7 linked regions of the Oryctolagus cuniculus genome follow. The protein of the gene in region 1 interacts with the protein of each later gene in a pairwise test. Links are inferred from orthologs where the notes say so. Each region holds a gene or a part of one and is shown in the gene's direction. Other genes may lie near its edges.

Region 1 (3,582 bases):
ATCCTGTGAGATGGTAAAGATTCCACATGGACACTGAGTGGAAAGAGCAGCAGTAGGGGGAATAAAGGATCTGAGGAAACAGGGAAAAGGACATTATCAAACAAGTTGTGCTAATAATTACAGCAATCTTTATCCTATAGAAACCTGATGAAAAGTTAAAATGGAATCAAAGTGACCCAAGGGAAGATGAAAATCAAAATCCATAATCAAAAGACTAATGAATCAACATAAGTAGCTATTTATAGATGAATGAATGAAGGAAATGTGGTATATACACACAATGGAACACTATTCAGCCAGAGAAAAAGAATGCCATCAGTCAGTTGAGGTAACACCAATGAGCCTGGAGGACAATATGTTAATCGATATGCACCAGGCACAGACAGACAAATACTACATGTCCTCACTCACATGTAGAAAGCTAAATAAGTTGGTCTCATGGAAGGTGAGATTAGAAAACTGGTTATCAAAGACTGGGAAGAAGAAGAGAAAGGGAGACACAGAAAAGTCAATTACATGCTACATAAATACAATTAAATGCAACAAAAAAATTTCCAGTGTTCTGTATCACATTAGGTGATTATAATTAACAATACTTTAATTATATATTACAAAATAGCTATATGGAAGGATTTTGACTGTCCCGTAACACAAAGAAATGAAAATGTGGGAAGTGGTGGATATGCTAATTACCCTGATTTGATCAATACACATCATATATATTTATGGAAATAGCACCCTGTTCCCCCAAAATATGTGCAATTATTATGTCAATTAAAAATGTAAAAATACACAAAAAATGTCAAAGTTGTTTTAAACCCATTATCTCCAGCATCATTCACATTTTGCACGGACTGATAGGGAATTTACCAATTCTGCATTCCTCCTTATTTTATACTCTTCCTCCTCCTACTCTCGGAATTTTGTAGGGAGAGACTTCATCAACTCTTACTGGTATTTCCCAGGATTCCAGTCTCAGATCTTCCCAAAGTTCGCATATTTTCTTAGAGAATCCCAACTATTCACATTCTCTTGAGGAATCCCAGCTGCTCCTCTCACTTGGTCGCAGGAAACCGGGAGCTCTCTCTGGGACGCTCCTGTCACACTTAGTCCTGGACAAACCCAGGTGGACCCTTGTAAGAAACTCTACCTCACCACGTGGGAAACTGAAGTTACCATCTTCCCCTTTAAACTTGCCCCTTCCTCAGCGACCACCCAGCCCCTCCTGCCCTCCCCAAGGCCGCCTCGTCCACGCAGGAAACCCGGGGTCATTCCCATCAGGCCAGCAGCGGCTCCACCTCAGACCCTCGCCGTCGGGCGCACAGCCCCTCCCCTCCCGCCCAGTCCGAATCGCGCGGCCCGCGGACGCGCAGGCGCAGTGTCCCGTCGTCCCGCCGCCGCCCCGCCCTGCCCGCCGCTGCGGAAGGCGCCGCGCGCAGCTACGCGCACTTCCTCTCAGGGAGACCGCGGAGGGAACGCAGGCTCGAAGAGCTCCGGGACGCTGAGGCCCTGCTCCTGTCAGACGGCGCAGACATGTCGGAACAAAGTAAGGACCTGAGCGACCCCGACTTGACAGCCGAGACCCCCAGCCGCGAAGTGCACAGCAGCCCAGGGGTTCCGGCGGGGGGCCCTGCGCCCGTCTCCCCTGCAGCGACCCTCGCAGGGCCACAGAGCCCTCCTCCAGGCCCGACGGCGCTCTCACAGCCCGAGCCGCCGCCCCAGGCCCCGAGCGATGAGGATGACCCGAAGGCCCTGCTGCAGGCAGCTGAGGAGGGCCGCGCCCACCAGGCCCCGAGCGCGGCCCAGCTGGGCCCCGCGCCGCCCGCCCCGGCCCAGCTGGTGCAGAAGGCACATGAGCTCATGTGGTACGTGCTGGTCAAGGACCAGAAGAAGATGATCATCTGGTTTCCAGACATGGTGAAAGATGTCATTGGCAGCTACAAGAAATGGTGCAGAAGCATCCTCAGGCGCACCAGCCTCATCCTCGCCCGAGTCTTTGGGCTGCACCTGAGGCTGACCAGCCTGCACACGATGGAGTTTGCGCTGGTCAAGGCTCTCGACCCCGAGGAGCTGGACAGGGTGGCACTGAGCAACCGGATGCCCATGACAGGCCTTCTGCTCATGATCCTGAGCCTCATCTACGTGAAGGGCCGAGGCGCCAGAGAGAGCGCCGTCTGGAACGTGCTGCGCATCTTGGGGCTGCGGCCCTGGAAGAAGCATTCCACCTTCGGGGACGTGAGAAAGCTCATCACCGAGGAGTTCGTCCAGCAGAATTACCTGAAGTACCAGCGCGTACCCTATGTTGAACCTCCGGAGTATGAGTTCTTTTGGGGCTCCCGAGCCACGCAAGAGATTACCAAGATGCAGATCATGGAGTTCCTGGCCAGGGTTTTTAAGAAAGATCCCCAGGCCTGGCCTTCCAGATACAGAGAAGCTCTGGAGGAGGCCAGAGCTCTGCGGGAGGCCAGTCCCAGTGTCCACTGCCCCCGAAGCAGTGTGTCTGAGGACTAGTGAGGTCTGGAGGCAGATTGATGGTTTCCAACCCCCACCAGGGCTGTGGAAGGGTGGGGGGCAGGTCTTAGAGTATTCAGGATTTACAGTGCAGTATTTCACGTGTAACCTTTCAGTTATCAGTACAGTGCTTTTATACCTTTTAATGCAATGTTGTATTCATTTGGGTACTATCAAGTAGTGTCTAGCATTTATGCATGTTTGTTTATAAGTAAGCTCTGTTGGTGCTTCGCTTTTGTGCTACCTTTCTTGGATTTTTTGTACCAGAGATGTGCTAAACTTATGAAATACATTGAGAAGTTTTCCATCTTATTCTTTTATATGGGACGATTGATGTGTACTGTATGATTGATGCACCTGGTGAGTGTGGAGAACTCACCAGCAAAGCTGGCCTAACCAAGAGAAAAGCCTAAGGCCCCTCTTTATGACCTTGATGGGCATGAGCAACATCTGGAGTGAACTGTTTTGAACTGAGATGGTCTCAATGTGGGCACTTGGCACACTTTACTAAACACATATACAACCTACCATGAGTAAACTTTAAACATTAAAGATTCTTGTGATACAATCATTTTTGGAGAACTGTACTCTATCATTTTAATAAACGGTATCATAGGGAATGAGAAGGGATTCCCCATTGTACAAAATATGCAAATACTTCATGATTAATCCTAAATGTGTATTTATATTGTATTATAAATACAACTCATATTTGTTTCAAAAGGTTTGAGAAATACAGAATGTGTAATGTCCCCAAAACAAGTAAAATTTTCCACAATCATAACACAAGGAAATAGCAATTGATCATATTTAAGATAATTTCTTGCCTTCATTTTCTATACTTTATCAAAGTTAATAGCTGCCTTTAGTGGTCTCTTAAAGAGGGAGGAATAGTGTTTTGTTAACTTTTGCCTTTTATTTAGTGCCCTCACTAAATAGTCGCTTATTACATCCACACAATGGAGGAAATCAGGAACAAAGTAGGGATGAACTTTGTGTAACTCACATAGCTGAGTAAAAGAGGGTGCTAGGATTTGAACCTATGCTATGAATCTGGAGCCCACATTCGTG
Region 2 (4,242 bases), on another chromosome or scaffold:
TGGAAGCAACTGTGGTACCACTCAGGGAAAGCATATCACAGGCAAAGAGATTCTGATTTCTCCATTTGGAAAGTTTGCTTCTGTAAAAAAAAAAAAAATCAAGTTGATGTCAAATGCTGTCATGCAAATAAAACAAAAGCTAAGAGCATGCTTAGAAAAACCTTAGGGATTTTATGTAAATCTCTGCAATTCTCCCCATGAACCCGTAGAACTCCAAACAACCCCTGTGGAAAGGCGTATCCACGTGCTGTAAGGCGTGCACATTGTTTCAGGTATCCGGGTGCTTTCCATAAGAAACCCATAGATTTCTGACTGCCTTTCTAATCTACCTAACATAGCGACCCGACGGAGGAATCACGCGGCTGCTTTGGCTGCAAGCTCCAGGAGTTCTCTCCGGAGACCACACCCGACGCCTGAGGCTGGCCGCCGCAGCTTCCCTATGAAAATCAGCCACCTGCATGGCCTTTCGAAATCATCAGGTTGGGTGTTACACAGGTGTACAAAGCGGGCAAGGGGGCTTTTAATAGGAGGGAGTCGGTAGTGTCAAGTCCACGAAGCAGGGATTTAGCTCGGGGAAGTTCCAGCCAGGCAGCCTGAAGTCAGTTGCCCGCCGTAGAGCGAGCCGCCGCCTAGCAAGCGGGTCTTCTCCTTGGTAGCGTCACTCTTCCTCTGCTTCCCTCCGTCTACCCGCGTCGTCAACACACCGAAAGCCTCCAAGGCTTTCTTCCCCACAAAGAAGAAAATTTAGGAAGCCAGAGGCAGTGCCCTACAGCTTTAGAAATGATAAAAGGTAACACCTGCAATGCACGCCGCAATCGCGCACGTGTGTAGGTAGGGGGGCAGAACCCTGTGGGCTGAGAAGCAGCCCACCAACTCCGGGGGTCAGGGGGCCCAGGAGAAAGGTAGATTAATTAAAGAAAGTGCCAGAAAAACTGCAAAGAAACGCGAAACTTTCCTCGCTAAATGCCGCATACGTGCAACCACAGCCTATTCTCCTCTCAAACCACTAGCGACACTGCACCGTCGCCATAAACACTAAGTGGGGAAGAGGGGTGATCAAAGAGGTCCCTGGTGGGAAGCGGTGGGCTGCGGGCCAGGGTCTCCGAGAGGTACCGGGTTATGGAAAACTAAGTTGTCAGTGGGCGGCGAGAACCAATGGCTGGGGATACTTGAGCATCTGAGTGATACGTGGGTCCCGGGGTAAGCAGGCTGCGGCTGGCTGGGTGGGAAAGGACAGGACACAGGTGCGGGGATATAGGGTCTCAGAGAACAGAAAGGGCCTCAGAGAAAAGTGCAAAGGAGAAGAGCCGCAGCTCAGCGGCCCCGCGCCGCCGCCCCCGCCCTCCGTTTTGCGCAGAATCCTCCCCTTGGCTGCAGCAGCGCGCTGCCCCCACTGGCCGGCGCGCCGGGATCGATCGCAGGCTGCGTCAGAAGCCTCGCGGCGTATAAATAGGGGTGGCAGGACGGCGCCGAGCCGCACACAGCCATCCATCCTCTCCTTTCCCTCTCTCCCCCGTCCTTCTTTCTCTCTCCAGGCCCCATCTCCGGCCGCGGGCCAGAGGGGCACCGGCCGCCACCATGAGTTCGTTCAGCTACGAGCCGTACTACTCGACCTCCTACAAGCGGCGCTACGTGGAGACGCCCCGGGTGCACATCTCCAGCGTGCGCAGCGGCTACAGCACCGCGCGCTCCGCTTACTCCAGCTACTCGGCACCGGTCTCCTCCTCGCTGTCCGTGCGCCGCAGCTACTCCTCCAGCTCCGGCTCCTTGATGCCCAGCCTGGAAAACCTCGACCTGAGCCAGGTAGCCGCCATCAGCAACGACCTCAAGTCGATCCGCACGCAGGAGAAGGCGCAGCTGCAGGACCTGAACGACCGCTTCGCTAGCTTCATCGAGCGCGTGCACGAGCTGGAGCAGCAGAACAAGGTCCTGGAAGCCGAGCTGCTGGTGCTGCGCCAGAAGCACTCGGAGCCGTCCCGCTTCCGGGCGCTGTACGAGCAGGAGATCCGCGACCTGCGCCTGGCTGCCGAAGACGCCACCAACGAGAAGCAGGCGCTCCAGGGCGAGCGCGAAGGGCTGGAGGAGACCCTTCGCAACCTGCAGGCGCGCTATGAGGAAGAGGTGCTGAGCCGGGAGGACGCCGAAGGCAGGCTGATGGAGGCGCGCAAAGGCGCTGACGAGGCGGCACTCGCTCGCGCTGAGCTGGAGAAGCGCATCGACAGCCTGATGGACGAAATCGCCTTTCTGAAGAAAGTGCACGAAGAGGAGATCGCCGAGCTGCAGGCGCAGATCCAGTACGCTCAGATCTCCGTGGAGATGGACGTGTCCTCCAAGCCCGACCTCTCCGCCGCCCTCAAGGACATCCGTGCACAGTACGAGAAGCTGGCCGCCAAGAACATGCAGAACGCCGAAGAGTGGTTCAAGAGCCGCTTCACCGTGCTGACCGAGAGCGCCGCCAAGAACACCGACGCCGTGCGCGCAGCCAAGGACGAGGTGTCCGAGAGCCGCCGCCTGCTCAAGGCCAAGACCCTGGAGATCGAAGCATGCCGGGGCATGAACGAAGCGCTGGAGAAGCAGCTGCAGGAGCTGGAAGACAAGCAGAACGCCGACATCAGTGCTATGCAGGTGCGGCCTGGTGCGAAACACGGCGGGGGCGGGGACCTGCAGAATGCGGGGGTCGGGGCAGGGGGAGAGTTGAAGCTGCGCCCAAAAAGTGGAGACCAGGGCTGGTAGGGGTCGCACTGTGCTCCCAGGGGACGGTGTGGGAGGGGCGGGGCCCTTGGGTGGGGCGGGGCCGCTACTGCAGTCTGGGTGTGTGAGTGGTGCAGTGGAGTCTGAGTTCCGCATTGAAGCTGCCCAGCGTGGGAGGGGTCAGGCGGGGGCGGGGGAGAGGTGGGAGTAGGGCGTTGCCCTGGCCTGCAGGGATGTCGGGCCATCTACCTACCTGCATTCACCTGAAGTTACTTTGCAACACCAGTGGGATCACCTGGTTAATAACCATAGCGAGTAAGTCTTAATTAGTCCCGAAAGGTTACTGTGGCCAGTATATTTTATGACTGGTTAAGTACCAGCTACTCCTCCCCTTAGCAGGTGGACAGGAACCCAGACAGATTTGTCTTGGGTAACTAGCTGGGGAGCAGAAATATAGGAAATATTTTAGAGAAAGTATAAGCAATTTAGCTACTTCCTTCTCTTATGAAGAAATGGATGAATTTTCTGGATTGTGACCTGGCTAAAGTGGAGTTAACCCATAAATGAGAATCCAGCCTTTTCTGTCAAGTTAGTTTCCATGCAGGCATATTCTGATGCTCCTTAGATTGTACTAGTTGAGGATATTGTCTTAAAGGAATGTTCTTTCTTTAGTTTTTTTTTTTTCTTCTCATGCTTCATGAAGCTGGATATTTTAGGCGAGAAATATTTTCAAAAAAGAGTGAGCAGCTGTTTTAGGGGAGATTTTTATTAAAGGTGTGCCCCTCGACTCTAACTGAAACTGAGTGTTTGTAACTGAGCTACAGTAAAATGATAGCAGTAGGAATTGATGCTTAGATTTTCTTCTTTTTCTGTCTTCCAACAGGACACGATCAACAAACTAGAAAATGAATTGAGAACCACAAAGAGTGAAATGGCACGATACCTAAAAGAATACCAAGACCTCCTCAATGTGAAGATGGCTTTGGATATTGAGATTGCAGCTTACAGGTAACAACAGAAGGGCAAAGGTAGTAGCCAGAAAGCCTTGGAAGAAAATCAGATGCCATTTAGATCATGTTGAACCAGAAGCCTTCTGCAATAGCCCTCTGAAATGAGATATTATTATGATTAGTTTGCTTCTTCGAAGGAGCAAGTGTTTAGACAAATATCAAAGAACTTTACCCTGTAATATTAAGTCCTGTTTTTAGCTTCTCATTACACTTAAAATCTAATAGAACTATTTAACGTACTTTATTCTGTATCCCCCCACCCCCAGTCTCATTCATAAAATTCCTAGCCATTGGATATTGGTAATTCCCAGCCCTCTCTTGTTTGCATTTGCCTGTAGGATGGCATTGGGAGAACAGATGAGAGGTGGGCTTAGAGCAAGTCATTAAATACACTTCCTAGGTTGTTTTAATTTTAACCCTACCCTCTGTTGGTCTCCCCAGAAAACTCTTGGAAGGTGAGGAGACCCGACTGAGTTTCACCAGTGTGGGCAGCATAACAAGTGGCTACTCCCAGAGCTCCCAGGTCTTCGGCCGGTCTGCC
Region 3 (3,998 bases), on another chromosome or scaffold:
CAGTTACAACGTCACTCCCTACAGCTGGCGGCGCCCAAACCTTCACACCCTGCTGTCCACGCAGCTGTCCACGCAGCGCCTCTGGGCAGTAACTGCGTCTCGGCGCTCTCCCCGCGGACTCAATCCTTTCCCTGCCCTCCTCTCTGTGTGACAGAATTATAGACAATGAGAGACAGAGAAAGGTCTTCCTTTTCCGTTGGTTCACCCCCCAAAATGGCCGCTGCGGACGGCGCACCACGCTGATCCGAAGCCAGGAGCCAGGTGTTTCCTCCTGGTCTCCCATGGGGTGCAGGGTCCAAGCACCTGGGCCATCCTCCACTGCCCTCCCGGGCCACAGCAGAGAGCTGGCCTGGAAGAGGAGCAACCGGGACTAGAACCCGGGGCCCACATGGGATGCTGGCGCCGCAGGCGGAGGGTTAACCAAGTGAGCCCCGGCGCCGGCCCCCTTTTCTCCTCTTGATGGCCTGCTGGCCCTTCCTGGACCTCTGGCTGCCCGGGACGCACGCTCAGCTCGTGGAGCGGACGGGTGGCGATGGACAGACCGCCTGTTGCGATCGGCCAGCGCCCGGTGCGGGAAACAGAGGCCAAACCGAGGGGCAGTGGCTCCCGGCGACCGCAGGGTGGCCCTTCCGGAGGGCTGAGCGGACGCAGCAGGGCCAGGCCTGTCCACCTGCACCGCGCGGCTGACCGCTGCCTCCGTGCGGGTCCGGCGGGGCGGGCGGGTGCCGTCGCTGGTCCCGCCTGCGGCTCGGGGCCCCGCTGCCCGCACCCGGCTCCGCAGCTCCTGCGGGGCAGGGACGGGAGCGCTAGACGCCCTCCCGCTCACCAAGCGCCCAGCGCTGACTTCAGCAGCCCCGCACACCTAAGACAACCGTGCGCCCGCACCTGCCTCGCTCGAGGCAGGGCCGCCCGCACGCGTAAACTGAGCCTTCCCTCCCGGAGCCGCCGCGGCCGACGGAGGTTTTTGGTCTTTCGGCTGTAACCGCACACGGTCCCCAGCGCAGAAGGTTCCAGAACCACGCGGCCCGGACGCCCGCGCCGGCTCCGGCCAGGGCGCCCGCCTCCCTCCACGCAGGCGCTCCGCAGGCGTCCGCGCTCCCGCCGGCGAGGCCCGGGTGCGGCGGAGACCCCGCCCACGGCCGGCGCCCGCAAGCCCGCTGCGGCCCGGGGCTTCGGCCTCCCGCCCCGCCGCGCGCCACGCGCCCGCGCACCTACTACGCGCCGGCCCGGCCCACCTCGGGCCCGCCCTCCCGGCGCCACAGCCAATGAGCGCGCGGCTCCGCATCCGGGGATCCCGGCGCGGCTGCCGCCTCCCGCGCACACACGGCCATGGCGGAGGTGAGTGAGCGGGCCGGGGGAGCCGGCCCCCCGCCCCCGCGCGCTCGCGCCCCCGCCGCCGCGGCTGGCCCGGTCGCCGCCCCGCGGGCCGAGGCGCCCGCCCTGGAGCTCTGAGGGCGCGCTCGGGGCGCCTCGCCCGCCGGGGGCCTGAGGGGCGCGGGGCTCGGTCGGCGGCCGCCCCCGGCCCCGGCCCCCTCCCCCCGGCTGCCACATCGCGGCGCGCGGCGCGCATGCGCGCTGGCGCGGGCTGGGAGGGGGCGCAGGGAGGGCGGGGCGCGGGCCGCACTGGGGCCGGGTGGGCGCGCGGGCGGGAAGTCGCGGCGGCCGGCCGTCCGAGCGCCCTCCGGGCCGGGGCCGGGGCCGCCGAGCTTGGGCGGCGGGGTCTCGGGTGCGGCCGCGGGGTTTGCGGGGTCTGGGACTGACGCCGGAGTAGCTCCGAGGCTCGTCCCGCAGCCTCGAGGACAAGTTTGGCTTCGGGGACTTGAGTGGGAGCGGCCGGGCCGGGGAGACGCCGTCCGGGGCGCGGGGCAGCCCGCGCGAGTGTGGCGTCCTCGGGGGCGCGGCCGCCCGCGCTGCGCACTTGGGCGAAGTTGGAGCAGGCCGGGCCCATGCGTGGTCTCCGGCTCCGGGAGGGCGCGGTGGGCGCCGAGGCGCTGTGCTGGCCACTCCCTCCTCCCAGGACCGCCCCGGGCCCTGCTGTCCAGCTCGGCCCCCGCACGGTGCCTGGGTCTCTTGAGTCCTTCCCTGGGCTGCTGACGTCCCCTAGGAGCGGTGGGGTCACGTGGCCGTGGACTCCCGGGAGTGAGGGGCGTGTGGGTCGCGCACGAGTCCCAGCCGAGGTCCAGGTCAGACCCTGCGGCCAGCCTGTGGCTCCTGCCCTGTGCTGGCCGCGGCTGGGCGTCTGCGCTGGGCGAGTTCGTGCAGAGGTCTGGGGGAACAGGAGTCACTGAGCGCTGGGGGCGGCCGGTGGGCCGGGGGCGCAGGGAGTCACTGAGCGCTGGGGACAGCGGGTGGGCCGGGGGCGCAGGGAGGCAGTGCCGCTGGGGGTGGCCGGTGGGCCGGGGCACAGGGAGTCACTGAGCGCTGGGCGAGTTCGTGCAGAGGTCTGGGGGAACAGGAGTCACTGAGCGCTGGGGGCGGCCGGTGGGCCGGGGCGCAGGGTGGCCGGTGGGCCGGGGCGCAGGGAGGCAGTGCCGGTGGGGACGGCGGGTGGGCCAGGGCGCAGGGAGTCACTGAGCGCTGGGGGCAGCGGGTGGGCCGGGGCGCAGGGAGTCACTGAGCGCTGGGGGCAGCGGGTGGGCCGGGGCGCAGGGAGGCAGTGCCAGTGGGGACAGCGGGTGGGCCGGGGGCGCAGGCAGGCAGTGCCGCTGGGGACAGCGGGTGGGCCGGGGCGCGCAGGGAGGCATTGCCAGTGGGGACAGCGGGTGGGCCGGGGCGCGCAGGGAGGCATTGCCAGTGGGGACAGCGGGTGGGCCACGGCGAAGGGAGGCAGTGCCAGTGGGGACAGCTGGTGGGCCGCGGCGCAGGGAGGCAGTGCCAGTGGGGACGGTGGGTGGGCCGGGGCGCAGGGAGTCACTGAGCGCTGGGGACAGCGGGTGGGCCGCGGCGCAGGGAGTCACTGAGCGCTGGGGACAGCGGGTGGGCCGGGGGCGCAGGGAGGCAGTGCCGCTGGGGGTGGCCGGTGGGCCGGGGCACAGGGAGTCACTGAACGCTGGGGGCAGCGGGTGGGCCGGGGGCGCAGGGAGGCAGTGCCACTGGGGGTGGCCGGTGGGCCGGGGCACAGGGAGTCACTGAACGCTGGGGGCAGCGGGTGGGCCGGGGCGCAGGGAGTCACTGAGCGATGGGGACGGCGGGTGGGCCGGGGCGCAGGGAGGCAGTGCCCCTGAGGTTTCCCGCTCTGGGCTGGCATCACAGGTTGCAGAACCTCAGTGCCTGGTCTGTGCCGGGAACGTCCACGCTGTCTGTCCAGGGCTGAGGGCCTCCGTAAACCATACCCAGAGTTCAGCTGTGTTTAACCCAGAAAAATACCTGAGTAGGGTTTGATTTGTAGTTGCCCCCTGACGGTTGAGTTGTCTCGAAATCACGTCACAGGGGGAACACTCAGACTTGGCGCACAGGTACTAGATGAGAGGTTTTTAAGGTTGAAAGAGTGGGGCCTGCTGGGGCTTAGTGGGCGAGGCCTCCCGCGCGGACGCGGTTCAAGTCCTGGCTGCTCCATGTTTGATCCAGCTCCCTGCTAATATGCCTGAGAAAGCAGAAGATGGCCCGGGTGCTTGGGCCCTGCACCCACGTGGGAGACCCGGAAGAAGCGTCTGTCTCTTGGCTTTGGATTGGCCCAGGTCTGGCTGTTGTGGCCATTTGGGGAGTGAACCAGCGGGTGGACGACCCCTCCCCTCCCAGTCTGTAACTGGCTTTCAAATAAATAAATGCATGTTTTTTTTAAAAAAATGGAAAGTTAGAGAGAGAGAGAGAGAGAGGTCTTCAATCTGCTGGTTCACTTCCCAGATGGCCACAATGGCTGAAGCTGGGCCAGGCCGAAGCCAGGAGCCCTGAGCAGGGTGCAGGGGCCCAAGCACTTGGGCCACCCGCTGCTTTCCCAGGCCGCAGCAGGGAGCTGGGTTGGGAGCGGAGCAGCCGGGACTCAGCAGGCGCCCACGTGG
Region 4 (3,958 bases), about 58 Mb from region 1:
AATAAATAAAATCTTAAAAAAAAAAAAGAAAAGGTTGGTGGCAACATTTGTTCCTTAGCTTTAGTCAGTACACTTTCCCCTTTCCTTTATGTTTTTGTTTTCTATGTATTTATTTTTGCATAGTTTGAAGTGTTGTTGTTCACTACCAAAAGTATTCTGACCAAGTCAGTACCCTTAAGCCTTCCAATATGAAATAAAACTAGTCAAGTGAATTGCATCAATAAGCCAAGAAAAATCTTTTTAAAGAACTTTTTTTAAAAAATTAATCTGAAAAACAGAAACAGATCTCCTATCTACTGGTTCACTCCCCTCAGTGCCTGCAGCAGCTGAGGCTGGGCCAAATAGGAGCCAGGAACTCAGTCTGGGTCTCCCACGTGAGTGGCAGAGATGCAACATCGTGAGCCATTTCATGCTATCTTCCAGCGTACACATTAGCAGAAAGCTAGCACTGGGCACCAGAGTGCACATTAGCAGAAAGCTAGCACTGGGCACAGAGCCGGGACTTGAACTCAGACCTTCCAATATGAGACACAGGCATCCCGGAGATGTATTTGCCACACTGTTTTTTAAAGTTTCATTAGAACATCAACACTATGGGTGGACTTCTGGCTAAGTGGTTAAGTTCCTATTTGGGATGCCCACATCCTATCAGAGTGCCTGGTTTTCCTGGCTGCTCTGCTCCTGATCCAATTTCCTGCTAAGGCACACCCTGGAAGGCAACAGATAATGCCCCAAGAACTTGGGTCCCTGCCACTCATGTGAGAAGCATGGATGAATTCCTGGCTCCTGGCTTCAATCTGGCCTAGCCCTGGCTGCTGACGGCATTTGAGAAGTGAGTCAGTGGACAAAAGATCTCCTCTGTCTCTCAATCCCCCACCCCCACCTCCACCTTTCAGATAAAATGAAGAGTAGTTTTTAAAAAGTTCTTTCTTTCTTATTTGAAAGGCAGAGTTACAGAGGGAGAGAGAGAGAGGCAGAGATAGCAAGATCCTCCAACCAATAGCTCACTCTCTAAATGGCAACAACAGCCCATTGGAAGCCAGGAGCTTCCTCCCCATCTCCCACATGGATGCATGGGCCCAAGATTTGGGTCATCCTCCCCTGTGGATCTTGCATTGGATGCCGGCACCTTAGGTGGTCCCAATACATAAATTTTATTATTTCTTTTTTTTAAAAAAAGATTATTTTATTTGAAAGGCAGAGTCACAGAGAAGTAGAAGCAGAGAGAGAGAGAGGTCTTCCATCTGCTGGTTCACTCTCCAGATGGCCACAATGGCTGGAGCTGGACTGATCCAAAGCCAAGAGCCAGGAGCTTCTTCTGGGTCTCCCACTTTGGTGCAGGGGCCCAAGGACTTGGGCCATCTTCCACTGCTTTCCCAGGCCATAGCAGAAAGCTGGATCAGAAGTTGGGCAGCCAGAACTCGAACCAGTGCCCATATGGGATGCCAGCACTGCAGGCGGCGGCCTCACCTGCTACACCACAGTGCCAGCCCCAATAACTACATTTTAAAAACTTAAAACACTAATACTATGCACTATGTACTACATTTCAGAATTGTGTGGCAGAATCTGCTAGAGCTGCTATTATACAATGACCAAGCAATGTACATCTCACAGAACTGTGTATTTATATGGAATGGTAGATATTCTCAAGAAAGACAAAAACTTCCCTGGTCGTAACTGCTCTGAACTGGAAACAATCCTAATATTACCACTGTGCTACTCAAATGGTCTATCATTCACAGCAACGATGTTTGGAGAGCAAAGAAGCCAGACACAAAGAATACATGCTGCTTTTTTAATGCATATAACATTTAAAAACAGGAAAAAAATACTATCTTTAAATATATTTATTGGAGAGATGGAGAGAGGAGAGGGGGAGGGCGAGGTAGGGGGAGGGGAGAAAGAGGGAGAGGAAAAGCAAGTGAGCTTCCATCAGCTGATACACTTCCAGAATGCCCAGAGCTGGAGCTGTGAACGCAATCCCCGTCTCACAGGTGTGGCAGGACCCCAATTACTTGAGAAACCATTGCTGCCTCCCAGCGTCTGCACTAGCAAGAACCTGGAGTCAGCAACTGGAACCCGAGAGTCGCTTTGCTCCTGTGATCTCAGAGAACGGGTTCTGCATCTCAGGGAGAACACGGCTGCTGCAGTGAACCTCCTCGGTACGCTCAGGTAACCTGACACAAGACGAAAGCATCCCACTGGCATCCTCACCGCTAAGTTAAACACCTCTTCCTCCATACAGTTTTTAAAGATTCCTTGTATTGCACAAATGTTTGATTTACAAAAGATCTATAAGAATCAGAAGGAAGATAAAAATTGTTTTTGTGCAGTAGGAAAATCCATCATGATAAAAAGACATTCAGAAAAAAAAAACCTTTAAATCTGATTAAATAAAACTAATTCTTAAGACCTCTTAAGACAGACGAGGAACAGTTGTAACCTTAAAAACAAAGTATTCACATACAGATTTTATAAGGAATTCAGAGGACACAAGTCAGTAACAAAAGAAATACCAAATAGGGCTTCTTTAAGAATAAAAACTATAGAAAATATATAGTATTAAATGATACACTATTAAATTGATAAAACTGTTAAAATCCAACAAAAGCAGGTGTGAAAAGGGTGTGGGGAGTTCTCAAATACTACTGTCTAGAACTTAAATTTTTACAGCAACTTTGGAGAGTACTTTGACAATATTTAAAGTAGACATACCCTATACACATAGAGAGAGCTAAGTCTTCAGGATATTGATAAACGTTTTTGAGAGTTATATAGAGCATGCAGAAAAAAGTTTTCCCACATAAAAATCCAAATAATGTAAAAAAATTATTTAAAGAATATACATCAAGCTGACTGATAATAGGAGAAAGCTACTTACTAGGAAAGAAAAATGGGACCAAATGTTCACTGACTATAACTGAAAATAGGATAACTTAACTTATATGACTTGTGAACTTAATTTTAAGGGGCAAAAAGAAAAGAGCAGAATGGCTCAGTTCTCAATATGTTGGCCTGCGTGTGGTTCGGAGACGTGGATTGAGAAGTCATTAGGGACTAGACGAAACCGTGGAGCAGGTGCGGTTGCCTGGGGGATGAGGAAGAGGAGCAGCAGGAGCGTTAACTGTGGTTAGGGAGGTATCTCCCAGTTTATAGCATCCTAAGTAGTATCGCGGCACAGCGAAGCAGAGCCCACGGAACGCTCTCGTACACACAGTCTCTAGCTGTGAGGTTTGAATCGGTGGACACACAGTCCACCGAGCCGCCCCGACATTCCCCGGGGAACGGCGAGCTCCCCGCCATAGCGGGGCGCCCAGCGGGAGGCGGCAACTGGGGGGCCACGCATGCGCCCCGAGTCCCGCGAAAGCAAGGCTTGTGCGCACGCGCACAACGGCGCAGCCGCGTCGCCCCTGTTTTGCTAAAAGCGCTTTGCTAGAACCTGAGCGGTTTCTACCATGTCGGCAATGGCAGAGCTGTCGGAGCTGTATGAAGAGTGCAACGACCTGCAGATGGATGTGATGCCCGGCGACGGGGACCTTCCGCAGATGGAGGTAGGCAGCGGGAGCCGGGAGCCGACCCCGAGTCCCTCCCGCAGCGGGGCCGCGCCACAGCTCGAAGAGGAAGGCCCGATGGAGGAGGAGGAGGGGGCGGCGGCCCAGCCAATGGCGGCGCCGGCGGGGAAACGCGGCCTGGCTCCCGGGCGCAGCCCTGGGGAGCAGCCCGGCCAGGTCGCGGGCCCGGACTTGGAGAGCGAGGACGAGGGCGAGGAATTTGATGACTGGGAGGACGACTACGACTATCCAGAAGAGGAGCCGCCGAGCGGCGCGGGCTACAGAGTGTCCGCGGCCCTGGAGGAAGCCAACAAGATGTTCCTGGGCACATCCCGAGCCAGAGAAGCAGCCCTGGATGGCGGCTTTCAGATGCATTATGAGAAGACCCCGTTCGACCAGTTAGC
Region 5 (4,078 bases), on another chromosome or scaffold:
ACCAAGTGTGCTAGGGCTCTGGCCCCAATCTTCTCTCTCTCTCTCTTTTTTTTTTTTTTTTTTTTAAGAAAAAGAAGTGTGAGTTAATTTTTGGCACACAAAAAAAATAGCTTTTTGTAGTACGTGGAAAAAGTCTTATAAAAAACCCTAAAGGTTGGATTTCAAAAAATTGCACCATAATGAGCTCATAGTTCTGCTTTTCTGTGAACTTTGCGTAGAACCCTGGTCTAATCGTACGTGGCGTTCAGCCCCTAAGATCACGAGAAGTGGTTAAAGGGAAACAGCAGAGCAACTGGATTTAAAGTGTACCCAGCTTCCTCTCCGTTAGGGTGAAGCATTCCAGAGAGTCCGGCTCAGTGGGCTCCAGCCCAAGGAAAATGGGACAGAGGGGCCTGGAGCAAGGGGGCTCGCGGCCACTCCCAAGGGTGTCTCCCCAGACGTGGTGGGAGGGAGTTAGGACACCCGGGGCGGCAGCTGGGTGGAGAAGCAGAGGAGGCCTTGAAGGGGTCGCCGTGGGGGCCATGCGCTCTGAGGAGCGACAGTCTGCTCGCTGCCCGCCAGGCTCCTTGTGCACACACAGCCCCTCCGTCTCAGGTCCATGGCTCAGGGCACCCATCCTGGACACCAGGGCGACAGATCCTTATTGAAGGCGAAGAGGGCGGCGAGCCAGGCTCTAGCTCCAGAACTGGCTGCCAGGCCGGGCTCCTGGGAGCCATCCAGGACCCGCCTGCAGCCTCGGGGCCTGTGCTGGACACTTGTGGGACAAGGCCTGCTGGCCGCAAAGCTGAGGTCACCAGTGTCCAGGGTGGGGGAGGCACTGAGACGTCTTCCCTTTCCCCACTAAGGGAGGCGGCTTCCTCCTGCAAAGAGAGGGCTCTGCCCGCCCAGGCCAGCAGTCAGGCAGGGCGGGTGGGCGGGGCAGGAGGGCAAGGATGTTAACAACACCTGGGATGTTTCCGGTGGCCCCTGGGGACACTGTGACTATAAGAACCAGGATGGTGACTGCCGACCCCAGCGTTAGCTCTATTCCTGAAAGCAGAAGTTCTCAAAATGCAAAACACACCTGCTCTGTTAAACACTTAGAAAGCCTGCCCCGCCCCCCCGCCGGCTCCGGCTGCACCTGCACCCACTTAATCACAAGGGGGTGCATCTGTGCTCCCAGGCTCTGCCTCCGAAACACCTTGACCCCAGGTAGCTCAGAAAGCCGGGGTGCAAATGCCCAGTGCTGGTCCCACTGCGCACAGAGCACAGGGCCCCCTGGCCCACCCAGGCGCTGCGGGTGGGGGCTGCACCTTCTGCTATCTGCGAAGCATTTCCTGCCTGGCTTCATTAGCACGTTGGTGGCGTCGCTTCCTGTGGCTGACTCTCCGTTTCCATTCTGGCAGAGAGTGGTTTGTGTTTTTTTTTTTTTCACACAGTTTTGGGGGTGAGAGGAAGATGAGCTTCACACGGGGCCTCTCCTGGGCCTCTTGGCAGCCTGCCCCGCTGTGCCCCTCGCGTCTGCTTGGGAAGACAGAGCTGGGAGGCTGGGCCTGAGCCTCCTCACTCCGGGAGCCCCTGCGCCCAGGCAACCATCACCACCGACGGCAGACATCGCGGCCACAGCCAGGTAGCACCAAACCTGTTGTCTGTGACGTGGGGTCAGCTGGGCCTGGCACTTCGGGGGCAAGACAGCATGTTGGGGGCGGGGGAGAAAGTTCTAGAACAAAAGATGTTTAGGAAGAAAGTAAAACCGAAATACTGCTTTCGTGAAGGACTTTGGGGAACAAAGATTTAAGAAGAAGAGGTTTTGCAAGTTTTGATGGTGTGTCCGGGAGTATTGGGAAGACGGGGTGACCAGGAGGTCTCTCACTCTACGTGATCTGCTGCAGAACCAACAACAAGAAGTGGTTACATGCAAAATACAAACCCATTTGCCTTTTCTCCTGGGAGTCAGCCCCAGAGGAGGAGTGGGAGTGTGGCAGACACGCCGGCTGGCGGCTGTGAGCCAGAGCAGGCCGAGAAGCTGAAGACGGGGCATACCTCAGAGGCTGCTGGACGATGGGCGCCATCACCCCGACCCTGTCAGGAATGCAAGGGAGCACCCTGGAGGCCAGCAGCCTGGAAGGGTGAGTGACAGCATGGGGCTTCCCCGCCCCCCCCCACCTTGGGGAGCCTCAAACAGGCTCGGGTCCCCCAAGGCCACAAGCTCTGGGCTCGGAGGCATTTGCTCGGGGCTGGCGGGAGGACGGGCAGGCGATGAGGGGTCAGGAAGTCCAATTACACGGGTCCTCTTTGCTGGTGGCCTGACTCCCCTGGACTTCCCTCAGGGCCCCTGCGCCCCGTCCTCCATCTTCCCTAACTCAGGTCCCACCAAACACCCCTCAAAAAAAAAAAAAATAGGAAGTGGGCATGTGGCGCAGCCGTTAAGATGCCCTTGGGATACCCGCATCTCACATCCTACTCCTGAGTTCAAGTCCCATCTCCACATCTGATGCCAGCTTCCTGCAGGCGTGCACCCTGGGAGGAAGCAGATGCTGTAGCTGGCTCCCCACCACCTGTGTGGGAGACCCAGATTGAGTTCTGGGCTCCTAGCTTTAGCCTAGCCCAGCCCTGGCTATTTCAGGCTCGTGGGGAGTGAACCAGCCAGTGGGAAATCAAACTTTCTCTCTTTCTCTTCCCTGTGTGACTTTTGAATAAATAAAAGTAGAAAGTGAAGCAAACATGATCCTACCATGATAGAAACAAAAGCCCAGTTTCCCAAGGATGTGTCTTTAGGTTCTAGAAACCTGCCATGAATGGAAAATGGAATCCTATCAGCATAAAGACTCATCTTTAGGACATAGCCTCTCCTGGGACTAAGGGGGCATCTGTGTCACCGCTGCTACTCTCGGTCTCGCACCAGTAAAGATAAGTCCATCAGCCATTGAATCTTTAGAAACACTGCTAGCAAGAAAGGTCAGTACCGTGAGAAAAATACAAGCCCATGATAATACATTTTAAAATCGCTGTCATTTTGAGAAACGCGTTTTTACTGTGGCAAACATATGTCGCTTGCGAGTGAGACGTGGGTGCTGATGAAGAATGAATTCCTGAAAGTTGTCAGAAGCCTGCTCCCTCACCAAGCTATTTATTTTTAAGATAATTTTGTTTTTTAATTGTAAAGAACAATCATGTATGGTGCATAACATGTTTTGAAATATTGTATACATTGCAGAATGGCTATGCACTAATTCACTTACTTCCTTTCTCATGGGGAGAACTCTTAAAATTCACTCTCTCTGATTTTTAGGGCTATGATACATTGTTATTAACCACAGTCACCACAGTGTGCAGTAGACCTCTTGAGTTTATTTCTTCTTTTTTTTAAGATTTTTTATTTATTTATTTGAGAGACAGAGCAGAGCTACAGACAGTGAGAGGGAGAGACAGGAAGATCTTCCTTCCATTGGTTCATTCCCCAGACAGCCACAATGGCCAGAGCTGCACCGATCTGAAGCCAAGAGCCAGGAGCTTCTTCCAGGTCTCCCACGTGCGTGCAGGGGCCCAAGAACTTGGGCCATCTTCTACTGCTTTCCCAGGCCATAGCAGAGAGCTGGATCAGAAGAGGGGCAGCCGGGACTAGAACTGGCGCCCATATGGGATGCCAGCACCACAGGTGGAGTATTAACCTAGTGCGCCATGGCCCCGAGTTTATTCCTTCTAACTGAAATTTCGTATCTGGTAACTGTCATCCCTACAACCCCTCCCCCACAGCCCCTGGTCCCCGTCTACTCTCTGCTGCTGTGAGTTCAGCTGGCTTAGACTCCAAGTCGCATGGGAGATCATACGTGTTTGTCTTTCTGGCCTGGGTTATCTGCTCGACACAATAGCCTCTCATTGCATCTGTGTTGCCCCAAAGGACAAGATGCCCTTCTTCTTCAAGGCCGAACAGTACAGCTGGGTGTGTACAGCACATCTGCGTTGTCCATGTACCTGCTGAGTGGCGCAGAGGTGGAGTCCACGCCTTGAGTATGGCAAATAAGGCTCAGCAAACACAGCAGTGCACGCGTCGCTTTGACACACTGACTTCATTTCCTCTGAGTCCGTGGGACTGCTG
Region 6 (3,065 bases), on another chromosome or scaffold:
CAAGAGCTGTTAACCCTTGTGGTCCTCCCCACAGAGGCAGCCACACCACGGTGGGCATCGGCGGACGGCTTGAAGGGCTAACACAGGACCTCCGGCAGCTGGAGGAGAGCGAGCAGCAGCTGGACCACCTGATGCACCTCTGTGCCACACAGCTGCGGCTGCTTTCTGAGGACTCTGACAGCCAGCGATATCCTTGGCTGGAAGCTGTGGGCCCCCCACGAGTGGCACTGGAGAGGCCACCCTGGGCCCTGGGAGAGCACCCGGGTTGTGGGTGCAGGTCCTGGCTCAGCACGTGCTGTGTCACTAGGCCAGTTACTTAACCTTTCAGCGCTTAGCTTCATCTATAAAGGACGTAATGTCCAACTCTGAAATCCGATTACGAAAGAAAGGCAGGTGTTAACAGTAACCATTGTGGCTTCAAAGGTACAGGCAATTTATTTTTCATTTTTGTAAGGAATTTCCTTAAAATAGGACTTCTTTTTAGTGGATACCCAAATTGTGCTTCTAAGTTTTGACTCCAAAATCATGGTTCAAAATAAGTTGGCCAGTAGCGGCCTGGAGTTGCACTGAGCGTTTTCCTAGGAGTCATCATTGCAGGCAGCCGCCATCATCCCCTTGGGATTGGAGGAGCTGAATGGTCCCATTGTACGGGAGTGGAAGCTGAGGCTCGGGGCAGGGAAGGGAGATCTTGAAAGTACCACATGCCAGGCCCTAGGTAGGGGGTTGAGCGGTGAGGACAGCAGAGAACAGGCAGCCACAGGCCTGCCTATGAGCTGTCTGGGTGAGTGGCCCCCAGAGGCAGAGGCCGTGTGTAGTCCTTGACTCCTCCAACCCTGGCCTACGTGACCTGCCAGGACCTTCGGAGCATTGTGGATCCTGCAGAGCAGATGGTCATGGTGATCAAGGCTCCTCCTGAGACCCAGCTCCAAGCTGTGGACTCCGCAGAGGTGAGACCAAGACAGGCTGGGCTGGGCTGTGATCGCCCGGGCCTGCGTTTACCCCGCCTGCCACCTCTACCCAGACCTTTCAGATCTCCCTTAAGAGCAAACAAGGCCCCATCGATGTTTTCCTGTGCCCTGAGGAGAGTGCGGGCGCGATCAGTCCTGGGAAGACCCCGACCCAGGGCGTGGCATCTGGGGAGGAAGACAGGACAGCTGACTCTGCCACCTTGGTTCCACCTTCGTCATCTCCTCCCTCATCCCCTGCTCTGGATCCCAGCCAGTCCCTTCTCAGCCTGGAGCAAGGTAGTTGAGGGGTGCGGGGTAGGGTGAGGTAGGGCAGAGCCCCCTCGTGAGCGTGCAGGCAGCCCCTGTGATGTTCCCCTGTCTTCCCAGAACCGCTGCTATCCCGCATGGGTGGCCTCCGAGCCCCCGTGGATGAGGACCGCCTGTCCCCACTGGTGGCAGCTGACTCGCTCCTGGAGCACGTGCGGGAGGACTTCTCCAGCCTCCTCCCCGAGGAGTTCATCAGCCTTTCCCCTCCCCATGAGACCCTCGACTACCACTTCGGCCTCGAGGAGGGGGAGGGCATTAGAGACCTCTTTGACTGTGACTTTGGGGATCTCACCCCGCTGGATTTCTGAGGAGGCTTCGGGGGGAGGTATCTCCTGAGATGCCCACCCTGGCTGTCTCTGCAGCCCCGGAGCCCCTTGCCTCTGGCCGTCCTCCCAGCCTGATTGGAAATGTTTAATTTATTCCCCTCTCCTATCTCCAGGGGCTTCTCGCTCTGGGATCTGGCTGTCGCCAGGAAGGGGGGATTCTGTTTGCAGTGTGTGTGTGCTTATCCCTGACACCCCCCACGTGTGTACCTGGGGTGCGTGTGGTGTGAGCGTGCATGTGTGCGTGGACCGGGGAATGAAGGTGAACACATCTGTGCGTGTACTGCAGACGCACCCCAGTGTGTCCACGTGTGTGGCGTGCGTCCGTGTGTGCGCGTGAGGGGGCTCGAACTGCACTTTCGGTCTCCTTGCTCCAGGGGCCCCACGAGGCCCAGGGCAGCCCCCTGCCCACAGCATCCTGTGTGCTGAGCGGGCCAGGTGGGAGCCCTTGGCTGTGAGGGTACAGGACAGTGAGCACTTCTGTCTTAAGGGTTTCCTGACCGAAGCTTTAATGGAGCGTTATTTATTTATCAAGGCCTCCTGGGTAGCCTGGGAATGGGCAAAGGGTCGGAGGGAGGAAGGCCTGCAGAGCTGACTCCCTGTCCCTGAGCAGAGACGGGGCCCTGAGCTGTTCTCACCCCGCCCGGAAGGAGCTGAGGCCTGAGCGATTTATTTATTGGGAAAAGGAGGGAGGGAGACAGACTGACTGACAGCCAGCCAGCCGTGAGTGATGGAGGGGGTGGCTCCTCCCCAGAGTCACTGCAGGTCCCCAGCCGTCCCCCAGGTTGGCCGTGAGCAGGGAGAGGGGAGTGAGGGATCTTCCCTGAGGGTGGGCAGGAGGGGTGAGTGAGGGGCCTCTCGTGTGGTCAGCTGGCTGCTCCGTCCCACCCTCCATCTGCACTTTGACTTGTTTCCTAACAGCTCTGTTCTCTCCTGCTTTGGTTTTAATAAATATTTTGATGACGTTTGGGCTGGGTCTGGGGACTCTGTACTGGGAGCAAGTCTGGCTGGGAAATGCCGTTCCCCACGTCCCTTCCTCGCCCTGCCCCGGTCAGTCTCGTTTGAGCCTCATGACTCCAAGAAAGGTGGGCATCTTCCTCCTAGCTAAAGATGGGTCCAGTAGAGAATCTTGTCCTGAGAAGTGACAAACCGCAGGGGGTAAGTGGACTCCTCCTTCGCCTGCCCCCAGGCAACTCACCAGTTGGCTGTGTTCATTCTGGGTAGTTGTGGGCCTTGTAAACATGCAGCAAAGAGGTCTTCCATCTGCTGGTTCACTCCTCCAAATGGCCACAACAGCCAGGTGTGAATGACTTCCCTTGGAGTCTCAGAGGCTGGTGAAGATTCGCACAGATGAGATCTGGGAGAGCTTCCTGGAAGGGGGGGGGGTGCTGGAATTGAGAACTGCAGGATGAGTGGGAGCTAATCTGAGTCACTCCAAGCAAAGGCCCTGGGGCGGGAGGGGCAGGGA
Region 7 (4,233 bases), on another chromosome or scaffold:
GGCAACCACAGGTGGGACTGGAAATTCCATAAACCACGGCCAGCGCTGTGGCGTACTGGGTAAGATGCCACCTGAAGTGCCGGCATCCCATATGGGCACTGGTTCGAGTCCTGGCTCCTTCCTGGCTATTTCCAATCCAGCTCTCTGCTAATGCACCTGAGAAAGACACGCAAGATGGCTCAAGTTCTTGGGCCCCTGCACCCACATGGGAGACCCAGCCCTGGCCGTTGTGGCCATTTGGGGAGTGAATCAGCGGATGGAAAACGCCTCCCCGCTTCTCTGTAACTCTGCCTTTCAAATAAACAAAAAATTTTTTAAAAGGTTATTTGTTTCAATAAACCTACAGCAGGCTAATTTTGTTGATAATTTTGCATGGCCCTTGGCAGAAAAAAGGTTCTCATCCCTGGTTTAGAGAGATGCAACGCCTCGCCCGAGGTCCACGGCAGCGGGTAGATTACAGAGCGAAGGCTGCAGCTCCAAGACCCACGTGTGTGTCCTCAAGGTCCACGCAGCGTCCCCGGCCGCTGACAGCTCCCCCGGGAGGAGCCCGGGTCACGCCTCTTTTGTTCATCGAGTCCTTTGCGAGTGCAGGCACTCAGCCCTTTTTAACCACATGAGTGAGCAAGTGAGCTGGTCTCACTGTTCCCGGAGAGAACACTCGGGGACTCTGGAATCCGTGCCCGCCTGCCATGCGCTCCCCGCGGCGCGCCGGTCACGGCGCGGTCCTGACTTCACTGTTCTCAGTCGATGATCGCCACGTCCCTGGTTCCCTCCAGTCTCCTCACAGCGGTCCTCCGAGCCAGTGCCCCAGCCCCATGTCGCAGATTTAGAATCACAGACAAGGCCGGCGCTACGGCTCACTAGGCTAATCCTCCGCCTTGCGGCGCCGGCACACCGGGTTCTAGTCCCGGTCGGGGAGCCGGATTCTGTCCCAGTTGCTCCTCTTCCAGGCCAGCTCTCTGCTGTGGCCAGGGAGTGCAGTGGAGGATGGCCCAAGTGCTTGGGCCCTGCACCCCATGGGAGACCAGGATAAGTACCTGGCTCCTGGCTTTGGATCAGCGCGGTGCCCCGGCCGCAGCACAGCGGCCATTGGAGGGTGAACCAATGGCAAAAGGAAGACCTTTCTCTCTGTCTCTCTCTCTCACTATCCACTCTGCCTGTCAAAAAAAAAAAAAAAAAAAAGAATCACAGACAGCAGAGGAGGCTTGTCAGGCCAACGTGGCTCAGCGCCCGCCACACCAGTCGCCATAGGCTGGGCGTCGCGGGGCGAAGCAGGCGCGACGGGGAGGCCCACACGACCGAAAAGTCACTTTCCAATTACTCCCGGCCCTGCCAATCGGCTTCTTCATTTTTGGTTACCCAGCCTGCCCCTCTGGGGCCAAACCCGTTGTGGCGCCTCCCTGCCATGGCAACCGGCGAGCCACTTCCGCTGTGGCCTACGTCATTTCCGGCGCGCCGGCCTAGCCACATCCGGGGTCCGGCCACCAGAGCGGCGTTCTACTTGCGCGGAGTGTGAAGCTGTTTGGTTCGCTGGACCGCCTCCGAGACGTGAGCGAGGCCGGGCCGCGGGACGGGGGACTCGGGTCGGGGAAGGCGGGCCTCGGCCAAGCCCGGGTGGGATTCCATTTTGCCCGCAGCAATGTGGGAGCCCGGCGCGGGGCGGTCCCGGTGGCGATCACTTCGGGCCGCGGGGTTGGGAACCGGAGCCGCCTCCGCGAAGCTTAGAACGCAGGAGAGACAGAAGTTGGAGTTCTAGCTTCGGGTTGTGAGGCCGGCCAGCAGGGCGCCCCCAGGGCAAGTTGCTTTTAACGTCTTCGAACCTCATTTTACTTACCTTTCTGCATGGAGGCGTCGGCGGTACCTTTAAGAAGGGTCTTAACGTTGACCCCGGCCGGCTTGAGCGCCCGGTGAGGACCCCTACTCGCCGCTGCTCTTGGGAATATCGTGCCCCGTGCCCTCGGAAGCGGCGGCATTCTGTAATCCCACGTCTCTGGGACCCGCTCTCCGAGAACACGGGGACCCTCTGCTCCCCCACCTCCCCCGGCGTGCCTGCTGTCGGAGCTGCCCGTGGAAGCAGTGAGCTTCCTGTCCCTGCTTGGCGCTCCTGCTACACGCAGGCCACAGCCACCCTCACTGTGCGGCGCGACGTGCCTGGCGCTGTGCGACTGGCGGAGGTGGGATTTGAACTCGGGCTGCGGTCTTAGCAGGGCTGTCGTGATGGTGATGAACCTAACGATGGGACTTGGGGAGGAGCTGTGTGCGCGTTAAGCATCCTCCTAGGGAATCCTCCTTGCAAAGCACTGCTCAGGTGCTGCTCCTCCGCACGCGGAGGAGCCGCACCGGACCGGGCGCTTGTTGTTCCCTTTTTTTACAAGTCCTTTCTATAGTAAAGTAAGAATAAGTAAACAGCAAACTCCCAAAGCAAGAATGAGTAGAGAGAAATGAGAAAGAACGAAGTAACGAACTTCCCCGCGAACTCTCCAACGCACTCTCCAACCAACCCACACCACTATGCCGTCTCTCTCCTCCTATATAGTCCTCCTCCGCCAATCCCAACTCGGCTGCCCACACGCCGAGCACGCCGCTCTCCTCCAATCAGGAGCAGCTCCTGCAGCTTGTCAAGTTGGTGAAAGGCAGCTGGGTAGAAGCTGTTTACTTCTCTCCCAGCGCCATATTGTGGGAGAGCAGATGCATAGAATAAATCTTAATTCCAGTAACAGTATAGTCCGAATTGCTCCCCACACTCAGGGCCGCGACAGCTGTCGATTTCAAGTTTAGACAGCTCCACCTCCCAGAAGTGGGTTCCCTGTTCTGACCCACAGATACCTTACTGAGTTATGTAATCGTAATTCCTGCAGCCTTCCGGCTCGAAGGAAGAGATCCGTGTTTTGGAAGAGCAGGCGTCTCTGAGTCTTGTCAAGTGATGTTTCAGAAAGCATACTGGGAGGGGCGAGGGAGTCCCCCTGGGACGGCCAGGGGTGGAGCGATACCTCTTTCCCAAACAGTTACATTAAAAAATAGTGGCATCTGGGACCCCAGAAGAGGTCCGCCCAGTTTCTGAGGCAGTGATGCGTGGAAGGCCGGGAGGTGTGTTTGCATGTCCATGCGTGTATCCGTGCATGTGTACATGTGTGCCGTGTTTATGGCATTGGTGAGGGCAGGGAGTGACCTTGAGTCGCATGGCCCTGGAACTTGTCTCCTGTTTCACCCGTGTTAGGGCCGACCGCTTTCTAACCCACACCTCCAGTTTCTGCTTCATTGACTGGTAACACTGGTCCTGACGGACTTGGAATTTGGAGGAAGCTCTGGGGGCAGCGAGAATCTTCCTGCTGCCCCCAGGACCTAGCAGACGCCGTGCCCTTTCTGTCCCTTCAGTGACGGGCCATGTCGCTGTCCCACCTGTATCGGGATGGCGAAGGCCGTGTGGATGACGACGACGATGAGCGGGAGAACTTCGAGATCACCGACTGGGATCTGCAGAACGAGTTCAACCCCAACCGGCAGCGCCACTGGCAGACCAAGGAGGAGGCCACCTACGGAGTGTGGGCGGAGCACGACTCGGACGACGAGAGGCCCAGCTTCGGAGGCAAACGGTACTGCCTGGCCCCGGGCAGCTTGCCCTCGTCTCATGGAGGGGAGGGGTGGGGAGGGGACCCAACAGGTGGCCGCCTCTCCTGGCCTTCTGGAGGGAGTCCCTAGGCTGGGACAGCAGCTTCCTCCCGAGGCCGGAGTGCTGCTCGTTCACTGTTTCACCGGCAGTCCTGCTTCCAAGCAGTTCCTGTGGTCCAGGCCTTGTGCTGTGGACCCAGCGCTTGGCTTCCTGGAGTCTAGACTCCAGTGCATGGAGACAGGCCTGGACCACTGAACTCTGGGACCGGGATTAGGGTTATGGAGGAGAGCACAGAAGCCTGGAAGGGTGCTTGACGTCTTCCGGGGGCCAGGGAGGATGTTTCTGGACAAGTGACCCTAGGCTGCGGGGTGGTGGGAGAGGTGTGAGCACGCAGAGGCCCTTGGCGGGGGCTGCAGGAGACCCACACGGATCAGGAAGGTTTGGGGGCTGGAGCAGCGAGAGGAAGGGGAGCACGGTATGAGAAGGGTTGGGGGGGTTATATTTGAGAAGCCCCCTTCACGGGTGTGTGGGCTGCAGCTACTCGACCAGTGTGTGGCTGACGGGGCTGTCTCTGCACCCCTGCTGTGGCCCGCGGTCCCAGCCCATTGCGACATGGCCTTTTC

What was found.
Region 2: the proteins of NDN (region 1) and NEFL interact in binary tests that used the Homo sapiens proteins (3 or more experiments, as listed by UniProt). The link is inferred for Oryctolagus cuniculus from reciprocal best matches to the Homo sapiens genes NDN and NEFL.
Region 3: the proteins of NDN (region 1) and MIER2 interact in a two-hybrid assay, tested with the Homo sapiens proteins (2 studies listed by BioGRID and IntAct). The link is inferred for Oryctolagus cuniculus from reciprocal best matches to the Homo sapiens genes NDN and MIER2.
Region 4: the proteins of NDN (region 1) and EID1 interact in binary tests that used the Homo sapiens proteins (3 or more experiments, as listed by UniProt). The link is inferred for Oryctolagus cuniculus from reciprocal best matches to the Homo sapiens genes NDN and EID1.
Region 5: the proteins of NDN (region 1) and LAX1 interact in a two-hybrid assay, tested with the Homo sapiens proteins (2 studies listed by BioGRID and IntAct). The link is inferred for Oryctolagus cuniculus from reciprocal best matches to the Homo sapiens genes NDN and LAX1.
Region 6: the proteins of NDN (region 1) and E2F1 interact in a two-hybrid assay, tested with the Homo sapiens proteins (2 studies listed by BioGRID). The link is inferred for Oryctolagus cuniculus from reciprocal best matches to the Homo sapiens genes NDN and E2F1.
Region 7: the proteins of NDN (region 1) and TFIP11 interact in a two-hybrid assay, tested with the Homo sapiens proteins (2 studies listed by BioGRID and IntAct). The link is inferred for Oryctolagus cuniculus from reciprocal best matches to the Homo sapiens genes NDN and TFIP11.

What each region holds. Positions count from the first base shown.
Region 1 is NC_091443.1:13,452,797-13,456,378, reverse strand, and holds NDN (necdin), read left to right. Parts: upstream 1-1,400; 5' UTR 1,401-1,533; coding exon 1,534-2,511; 3' UTR 2,512-3,082; downstream 3,083-3,582. UniProt on the Homo sapiens protein: Growth suppressor that facilitates the entry of the cell into cell cycle arrest.
Region 2 is NC_091433.1:49,228,069-49,232,310, forward strand, and holds the start of NEFL (neurofilament light polypeptide), read left to right. Parts: upstream 1-1,442; 5' UTR 1,443-1,578; coding exon 1,579-2,625; intron 2,626-3,574; coding exon 3,575-3,699; intron 3,700-4,142; coding exon 4,143-4,242. UniProt on the Homo sapiens protein: Neurofilaments usually contain three intermediate filament proteins: NEFL, NEFM, and NEFH which are involved in the maintenance of neuronal caliber.
Region 3 is NC_091447.1:58,246,338-58,250,335, reverse strand, and holds the start of MIER2 (mesoderm induction early response protein 2), read left to right. Parts: upstream 1-1,198; 5' UTR 1,199-1,265; coding exon of another isoform or gene 1,266-1,329; coding exon 1,330-1,338; intron 1,339-3,998. UniProt on the Homo sapiens protein: Transcriptional repressor.
Region 4 is NC_091443.1:71,693,919-71,697,876, forward strand, and holds the start of EID1 (EP300-interacting inhibitor of differentiation 1), read left to right. Parts: upstream 1-1,158; 5' UTR 1,159-3,458; coding exon 3,459-3,958. UniProt on the Homo sapiens protein: Interacts with RB1 and EP300 and acts as a repressor of MYOD1 transactivation. Inhibits EP300 and CBP histone acetyltransferase activity.
Region 5 is NC_091444.1:19,380,680-19,384,757, forward strand, and holds the start of LAX1 (lymphocyte transmembrane adapter 1), read left to right. Parts: upstream 1-1,278; 5' UTR 1,279-1,894; coding exon 1,895-2,108; intron 2,109-3,310; exon of another isoform or gene 3,311-3,574; intron 3,575-3,954; exon of another isoform or gene 3,955-4,075; intron 4,076-4,078. UniProt on the Homo sapiens protein: Negatively regulates TCR (T-cell antigen receptor)-mediated signaling in T-cells and BCR (B-cell antigen receptor)-mediated signaling in B-cells.
Region 6 is NC_091442.1:24,388,522-24,391,586, forward strand, and holds the end of E2F1 (transcription factor E2F1), read left to right. Parts: intron 1-34; coding exon 35-187; intron 188-832; coding exon 833-947; intron 948-1,021; coding exon 1,022-1,244; intron 1,245-1,334; coding exon 1,335-1,582; 3' UTR 1,583-2,565; downstream 2,566-3,065. UniProt on the Homo sapiens protein: Transcription activator that binds DNA cooperatively with DP proteins through the E2 recognition site, 5'-TTTC[CG]CGC-3' found in the promoter region of a number of genes whose products are involved in cell cycle regulation or in DNA replication.
Region 7 is NC_091452.1:20,280,662-20,284,894, reverse strand, and holds the start of TFIP11 (tuftelin-interacting protein 11), read left to right. Parts: upstream 1-1,433; 5' UTR 1,434-1,548; exon of another isoform or gene 1,549-2,174; intron 2,175-3,375; 5' UTR 3,376-3,384; coding exon 3,385-3,593; intron 3,594-4,233. UniProt on the Homo sapiens protein: Involved in pre-mRNA splicing, specifically in spliceosome disassembly during late-stage splicing events. Intron turnover seems to proceed through reactions in two lariat-intron associated complexes termed Intron Large (IL) and Intron Small (IS).